Linked DNA regions of Mytilus edulis. Each later gene encodes a partner of the first gene's protein in a complex. Links are inferred from orthologs where the notes say so. Each region holds a gene or a part of one and is shown on either strand. Other genes may lie near its edges.

What was found.
Region 2: protein AAR2 homolog (region 1) and CD2 antigen cytoplasmic tail-binding protein 2 homolog share a complex: the UniProt entries of both Homo sapiens proteins name them as parts of the U5 snRNP complex. The link is inferred for Mytilus edulis from reciprocal best matches to the Homo sapiens genes AAR2 and CD2BP2.

What each region holds. Positions count from the first base shown.
Region 1 is NC_092348.1:58,116,807-58,120,741, reverse strand, and holds the start of protein AAR2 homolog, read left to right. Parts: upstream 1-829; 5' UTR 830-844; coding exon 845-922; exon of another isoform or gene 923-966; intron 967-1,714; coding exon 1,715-1,884; intron 1,885-2,732; coding exon 2,733-2,833; intron 2,834-3,935. UniProt on the Homo sapiens protein: Component of the U5 snRNP complex that is required for spliceosome assembly and for pre-mRNA splicing.
Region 2 is NC_092349.1:60,053,691-60,057,625, reverse strand, and holds the start of CD2 antigen cytoplasmic tail-binding protein 2 homolog, read left to right. Parts: upstream 1-1,237; 5' UTR 1,238-1,263; coding exon 1,264-1,432; intron 1,433-3,935. UniProt on the Homo sapiens protein: Involved in pre-mRNA splicing as component of the U5 snRNP complex that is involved in spliceosome assembly.

The DNA.
Region 1 (3,935 bases):
TAAACATCGAAAATATCAAACAGTTTTACGAAATTAAAACCAAGCGTTTCACCAAATTTTAACCTTCGAATTACATCCTGGTTTTACCGATTTTTATTAAGCAATTGAGAATCGTTCGTGTAGTTAAAATATTTTAAAAATTGTATGATAATCTCTTTTGTAATCTCTTTCACATTTGATCAGAGTTTTATGGGGGAAACCTGTACATAAAAATATTTTTGAGGTCTGATAAAGGGTTTGCATAGTCACGCTATATAAATTCTTCGTCTTTCCTTAGTAGAAGCCTATTTTTCATTCAAGTATCTTGAAATTTTTTAAATCGTATATACAACTTGCTAATTTTAGAAAAGTGGACCTCTGTAAGAAAACTTTGTCAATATTACCAAGGATTAATATATTCTTATTATACAAATCTTTTCTATCATATATAATCTTATACGAATTTTATTCTTATCCTCATTTATATGATATGTGTAATTAAAATCAATGTAATTTACAATATACAGTGTTGTAATTGCGGTCATTTGGGGCCCGTAATCGGAAATCATGGCTGAACTCTTTTAAAATTTATTTTACAACCTTTTAGTTCCTCATGAATTTCATGTTCATGCATTATGAATATAATATATTGGGTATTGATAGCAATGTATTTTTTTTTAACCGATAGCAATGTCTCTATCCAAGGTTCCTTTAGAAACAATAAACTTTCTACTTTTTGTACAATATGATCACTCCCTTAACTTCAAGTTGGTCTAGGGCGATTTGACATGTGGGGCGAGTTGGCTTCTTTCATGTACGTTGCTTTTTATTTTTAAGTTCCCTTTAGGTACTTAGTGATACTACAATGATTCTCTGTAGGGATAATCTGGCCACAACCTCAACATTGGGAAAACGAATTTTAGACGTTCCCTCACTTTTGGATGTCGGTTTGCATGTCCCTCTAAGCTTTGATGTTGTATTTTTAATGTAAGAAGTAGTAAGCAAAGTTCTCATAAGTCGAAGGACAAATAAACACTATGACAAAAGAGAAAAAAAGGACGTATAAAAAAAACACTCTCCCAAACATGAATTATTATATGAAAACCACAAAATTATACACATCATGATAAATGTTGCTCTTAATGAGGGCAGGAATGACCCTTAACTGTTAGGCATATAATTGGTTGAAATCCTATCGTGATTTGTCAAAATATCCCCATCATAATTCGTCAGAGGTCTCAAATATTTAACCGTTACCGTAATTGTTGGAAAGAATTTAATGTGATTTGTCAAAATCAGTCAATTTCTTTTTAATCATTGTAAAAAATGTACTTTTTATCGTCATGCACCAAAATTTAATGATAACATCAGGTGGCAAGATTTTTTACCCTTATTTGTCATGAAAGTATCCCCAATACGAAGCCCATTATTTGAAAAAAGAAGAAATATTTTGTAAATATATTAGACTATCAACTTCCTTTAACAATTCCCTATGTATAATTTTCTGGTGTTGGACATTTCTTTTAGCATGTTAAGGATATAATTATATCACAATTTTAAAATGAAAACTATGGATACTCTTTATTTGGAATTATATCCAGAAAAGATCTTCATATTAAGGCTAAGCTATTATGACCTATTGGTCAGATTCAAATTTACACACAAAAGATGATTAGGGTTATACATTGTAATTTGGATGAAGGGCTAATTTATCTACTCTTTTGTTAAATTACAGATCATGGATCAAGACACAGCTCAAACCTTGTTCAAAGAAGGTGCTATTTTTGTATTCCTTGATGTACCAGTTGGAACAGAATTTGGTATTGATTATAATTCATGGAATGTCGGACCAGAGTTCAGAGGAGTTAAAATGATTCCTGCAGGTCTTCATTTTGTTTATTATAGGTATGTTACTTACATTGATTTAAATTATTGTCACTTATATTGAAAAAAGTACTAGATTAAATACTGTGGATTCATTAATTTTCTTGGGTGCCGATTTTCGTGGTTTGAAGAAAACGTGCATAGTCTCAGATATTTATTTTCGTGGTTTTGGCAAAGTCTGCATTCATTCCTTTAGAAAATATGTAATCCATTGAATATTTATGGTTCCCCTGGTCACTCAGGAAATCCTCGAAAATTGGTATCCAACAAATATTAATGAAACCACAGTATAATTTGTTCTCAGAGTTTAGACAAAACAATTATCAAAGTCCACACTCCACAGACACATGGTTCCTGTATGTTGAGAATGACAAAATTACATGTTATGGTCTTTTGTATTTTTTAATTCAGCAGTCTCTGTAGATACTAAGTAATTTTCAACACAAGATGAATTCAGGTTAATTTCTTCACTAAAAGAAATCAAGCGTTGACTTCATCATTGCTATGCTAGAGGGTCTAAATGGGGTAACTTTTTCTGTATCAAAAATTTTAAGGCATATTTTTCTTTTCTTTGAAAATAATGCTTATTGTTTTAGATTATCAGGAATATGATTTTACTAGTAATCTGTAATTATATGATTTTTTCCCCTGTTATTCGTTCATTTTTAAAATCCAAGGGTGGTGCAAATATTTCATGGGTGGAAGATCAATAGCCTTAAATAGCCTTGTCACTTTTATTATTCTGAATGATATAACTTCACAAAAGACAGCCCTTGAAATATGGCAATAGGGCCAAACATTCAATTTATCATTATACATGTTATACATTACGTTTTTAAGATATTTATTAAGATTCATTTACATTTCAGCGCCTGTAATAAGGAAGGTCAAACAGCACCTAGAACTGGATTTTTCTATAACTTCAGAAAGAAAGAAATTGTTGTTCGCAAATGGAACAGATTGTTAGAAGGTAACCTTATTTTTATCAAATTGTCAAAGTCAAAGTGGCAGAATTAATACAGTTTAATAAGGTTTAATTTCTAAAGAATATTCAGTGACTTGGCTGGTTTGTCCTGGTACACTTGTTCAATTTAGGCAGGTTCCTGGTTTTATTAGGCGTTGGTTCAGATAGGTTTCCCTGTATTAAAATTAAATGATGTCTGAAGGAAGTACCATCAATCTAGATATTTTAAAATGTGCCTGATGTTTGTTTTGTTCATTAATGGTAAAATTGCTAAATTTCTCATTGAGAAAAATTCCCTCAGATAGTAATGGTCTTGGAAATCACTTAAAATAGCGAAATTAACTTTTTTTTTTCTTGAGCAAATCACTCACAATAGCTGATAGGAAATTTGCTCAGTTGTACAGTACCTAATAAAGTTTTAGGTGTAAAAGTAAAAGTGTCTGTGAGGTCACTCTGATTTAATGTTAAAGTCCTCAACATTTTTTATGATTAAAAACACAGGTGCAAGGATATAGGTTTAATATCTATACTATTAAACGAGAAGACCTCATTTTGTGTGTCACTTCTCTTCCTTCCACAATAAATTAATCATCATGCCTCTGTGTCCTATAGGTACCATGCATAGTCGCATTTGTCATCCATTCTTATGATTTAATAATATTCAGATTCAGTTATTTTGGGAGAAATACGGAAAAAAAGGCGTCCTGATATTGTTTCCATCATCAGACTGACTTTTAGAAATAGATAAGACTTCTGTTTTTAAATTTGCATAAGTAATTGGAGAGAGGACATTATTTTCGCGTTTATCTTCATGTATACTATGATTATGCTACTATAATATATAGAGACTCTCTGTATTCTGTATACTGTTTTCTTTGAAATGTTTACTAATTAAGGGGTCATATCAGTTGCATATAAAAATAAGTAAAACATGTGGAAAAAATTTATTGTTGAAAGTGAAGTAGTGATTTGGCCAAAATGAAAGTAGGGTACTGTAGAAATTAGCCTTTGTCATTTATACAAGATACAAATCCTACCATTGGCATGTTAATAGGGTTCTCAAAAGAAAAAGCACAGATGGATTGTCCTAGAAGCATATTTTATTAGA
Region 2 (3,935 bases), on another chromosome or scaffold:
TTGTAAGTTTAATTAACATTATCTCTGATTTTTTAGACTCTCATTCATATTTTTCTTTAGAAGACAAAGCCTTGTCTTTCAATGTTGCCATTATTTGATTTAGATGTATGACCTGTTTATAAATATGCATGGGTCTTGCAGTTAACCAATTTTAATAGGGGGCAGATTTTCACAATGGAGGTACAAATGGTGTGAAAAATACGGGAAAACATCATTAAAACAGAGCAATTGCTTGGAAACATGCATAGGATTTCCCATACTTTCATACTATTTCCACCTCTTTCCAAAAAATCTGCCCCCTATCAAATATGGCCGAACTAACCGTGAAGAGCCCTATATTTGCAACTTTTTGATTCTGATCAATACTTCTTGCTTAACAATATATGACTTATTAAAGTCGTATTTTGTCTTGCTTTAAAGGGAGACAAATCCTAAAACTTACAAATTTAGACCTCTATGAGTCAAAAGCAGATTCAGACTTATTTATGTCTGAGCTCTGACTTATTAATATGTCAGTTCATGTGATATATTCAATATGATCAAGAGACAAGATAAAATAAAGAGAGAGCGCAAGCTGATAAAACTGATGTATAATTCCAGCAATGGAAAACAAATAGTGATAAGGAGTGTACTTAGTATAAGGGCTTGATAAAATCTGTGTCAGTTCTGTTCCTAGGGTATGACTTTGTAGGGGCACAAAGTTTCCATAGAACTATCATTTGACTATTGGACGCTGCAAAAATTTTAACTATTGATTAATACTACTAGAAGAGTCAAATACTTAAAAGGTCTTCATGCATAAGCCTCACGGTCAATGCATCAATATATTTTTATTTATTGAAATAATTTCCCAGACCCACTTGGATTTTTTTAAAACGTTTGCCTAAATCAATGTACAAACTGTAGACACTTGATTTGTCTTTAAGATTTATCCTCAATAAATACATTTGACTAGTATTTATTACGTGAAAACGCCTTTAATGGGATGAAGTGTCCTAAAAACGACCGTTCTACTCCAGTAACCAAGTGCGTTCTGCCATTTTTAAACAATTCGAAATTTTATTGATCACAATGGATAAAACGAATCAAAATTTATTTGATCTTTTTCGTTAATTCTTTTAAGAATGAGATTGAAAATATAAAAAAGATAAAGTTTAGAGTCGAAAATTATGTACCTTTCCGTTTATATATGAATAAACAATCATATTTTCAATATGACTAAGTTCGTTTTCTCTGAAAATCCAGAATCTGAAAATTCTAAAAATGTCGAAACGAAAACGATTTGAACAAGACCGCGAAGAGGATTTGAGAGATTTCGAAGATTTAGACGACGAAGCAGCCCGGAGATTCAAAGATAAACATTCCTTAGATAGTGACGAAGAAGATGAAAACACTGGAAAATATGACATATTGGATGAAGATGATATTGAAGGTTTGCAAGCAACTCGGAATGACATTCGTATCTATCGGACTTGTCCCTGTCTTGTTTTTATCAAGATCTTCTTCTTCTTCTTCTTCCAATAATTTGCATACCACCTCTGGTGTATTATCGCAAATGACTATTTACACAAATCCGGTTAAAAGCCATCGTGGTGTTATATACAATTAAAACTGAAATATCTTACATGAAGCAGGTGTCTGGAGGCTGTCTTTGAATCCTGCCAAAGTGGAAGCTGTGACGACAGCAGATCATCATGCCAGATGGTAGTTCATTCCACTGACGAATTGAAGGGGGTCTCATTGAGGGGTTCTGATCCCGCTTACTGTTTTGTCAGATTCCTGTATCCCGCTTACACTATGTACCTAAGCAATTCTCATTTTTTTGTAATTTTCCGTGTCCCGCTAGACCTTAATTCCCGTTTTCACGGCACAATAATTTGACTTTCCCGTTTCACGCTCAGGGCCGTAACTAGGGTTCCAATTCAGGGGAGGCAGGGGTTTGGGCCCGCCGATTGAGGCCCCTAAGAGAGGGGGTTTGGGGGGGCACAGCCCCTCGCCAAATTTTTTCTCAGTATAATGACTAAAAATGACCCGTTTTCCTTCTATTTCCTTTCATTAAGAAACATCAGTATTGCTTGAACCAGGACGCAATTTTTATGCAAAAACAAGCTGAGATTGCTGTTCGGGGTGAGCCAAGGCCCCGTCTTGAAGGCCGTACTTTGACCTATAATTATTAACATTATATACATTGTGACCGCAGATTTTTTTCTCAATAAACTTGAATCAGTGGCTAAAAATGACCCGTTTTCCTTCGATTTCCTTACTTTAAGAAACATCAGTATTGCTGGATCCTGGAAGCAATTTTTATGCAATCAATTATCATCTGTATTTAAAGATATTTTTGTTAGAAATCAAACTGGTAAGTAAAAAAAACATATCAATCGATATCATAGAACGCAAGATATCTTTTTTATCGAGGACCTTGAATTTCAATATTGTTGAAAGCTAAACAGACATGTATATAACTATAACCAGTGACTTTGAAAGTTTTTATACTAGTATATACTTACAAGTTAGTATAGAAAGTCCCTGCTACAACGAATGGGAGTGTTTAACTACTAAGGCATTAGTCCGAGATTACTATCAAAAATCCGGAAAATGACATATATCACGAATCATGAGAACACTGTTAAAACTATAAACTTAGGTTGTTTATAATATAAATTCAAGTTCTTCGTGTACATATTGTCAATATTTCATTTTATTACTTGAAAAAAAAATTGGTGTAGAGAATTCAGGGGAGGCGAGGCAGTTGCCTCCCCTGCCTCTTAGGTAGTTACGGCCCTGACGCTTACGAAAAAAGCGGCAATCCCGCGTCACGCTAAGACCCCAATGAGACCCACATTGAAGATGGAAAAAATGATTGCTGGTGGTTTTGATCATAGCACTATTTTCAGTCTTGATACATATTTCAGATATACATTTTTGAAAAAGCACCAAAAATATGCATAAATATTAATAATGACTGTTCCGTAGTACCACACTTTTCTAACATGTCTAAGTGTGATGAAAACGGGTTGCACTAATGACAGGATGACTGACCGGCTAGTGACAGGACGGTTGACCGGATGAGACAAAAATAGTCATAAGTTTTTTGTTATTTGGTAGATTTTTTAAATATTTACAGACTTTAAAGATATCAAACTATATTTTATGAAAACAAAACAAACCAGATGCTCCGCAGGGCGCAGCTTTATACGACCGCAGAGGTTGAACATTGAATGGTTGGGGCAAGTATGGACACAACATTCAAGCTGGATTCAGCTCTAAATTTGGATTGTGATGAAATAGTTGACACAGCATAGGTTTCTGCATTGTTCTTACACAGAATGAATGTGGTCTAATGAACTTAAAATATTTTTTTTGCCTTTGAGCAATTCACTATGCTGTTGAATATTAATCCTCTCAAAAAAATGTTTGAAGAAATTTTCTTTTTATTTATGACATCTGAAATGAGAAAAATTTACCCCCCCCCCTTTTTTTTCACATCCCCCTTTCCCTTTTTCTAAAACTGATCTCAATTCAAATTTCTAATGGAGTTTGCAACAATAACTACTCATTTAAATACATCATAAAATATTAAAATGTAAAATAAAGTGGTTGTTATCACTGAATGGTAAAGATTGTTTTAATTTATCAGTTGGTAGTAAAAGTGAATATACATTATATATTGTATAAAACAATAATTTAACTTGATTCAACTACTATTCTGGACAAAGGAAGATAACTTCAATTCAAAATTTCTTGCTATTGCACAATATTGTGCAATTAGATATTTCTTGCTATTGCGCAATACTGTGCAATTGAAAATATTTGCTATTGCACAATACTGTGAAATTGAAGATTTCTTGCTATTGCGCAATACTGTGCAATTGAAAATTTCTTGTAATTGCACAATACTGTGCAATTGAAGATTTCTTGCTATTGCTGAATAC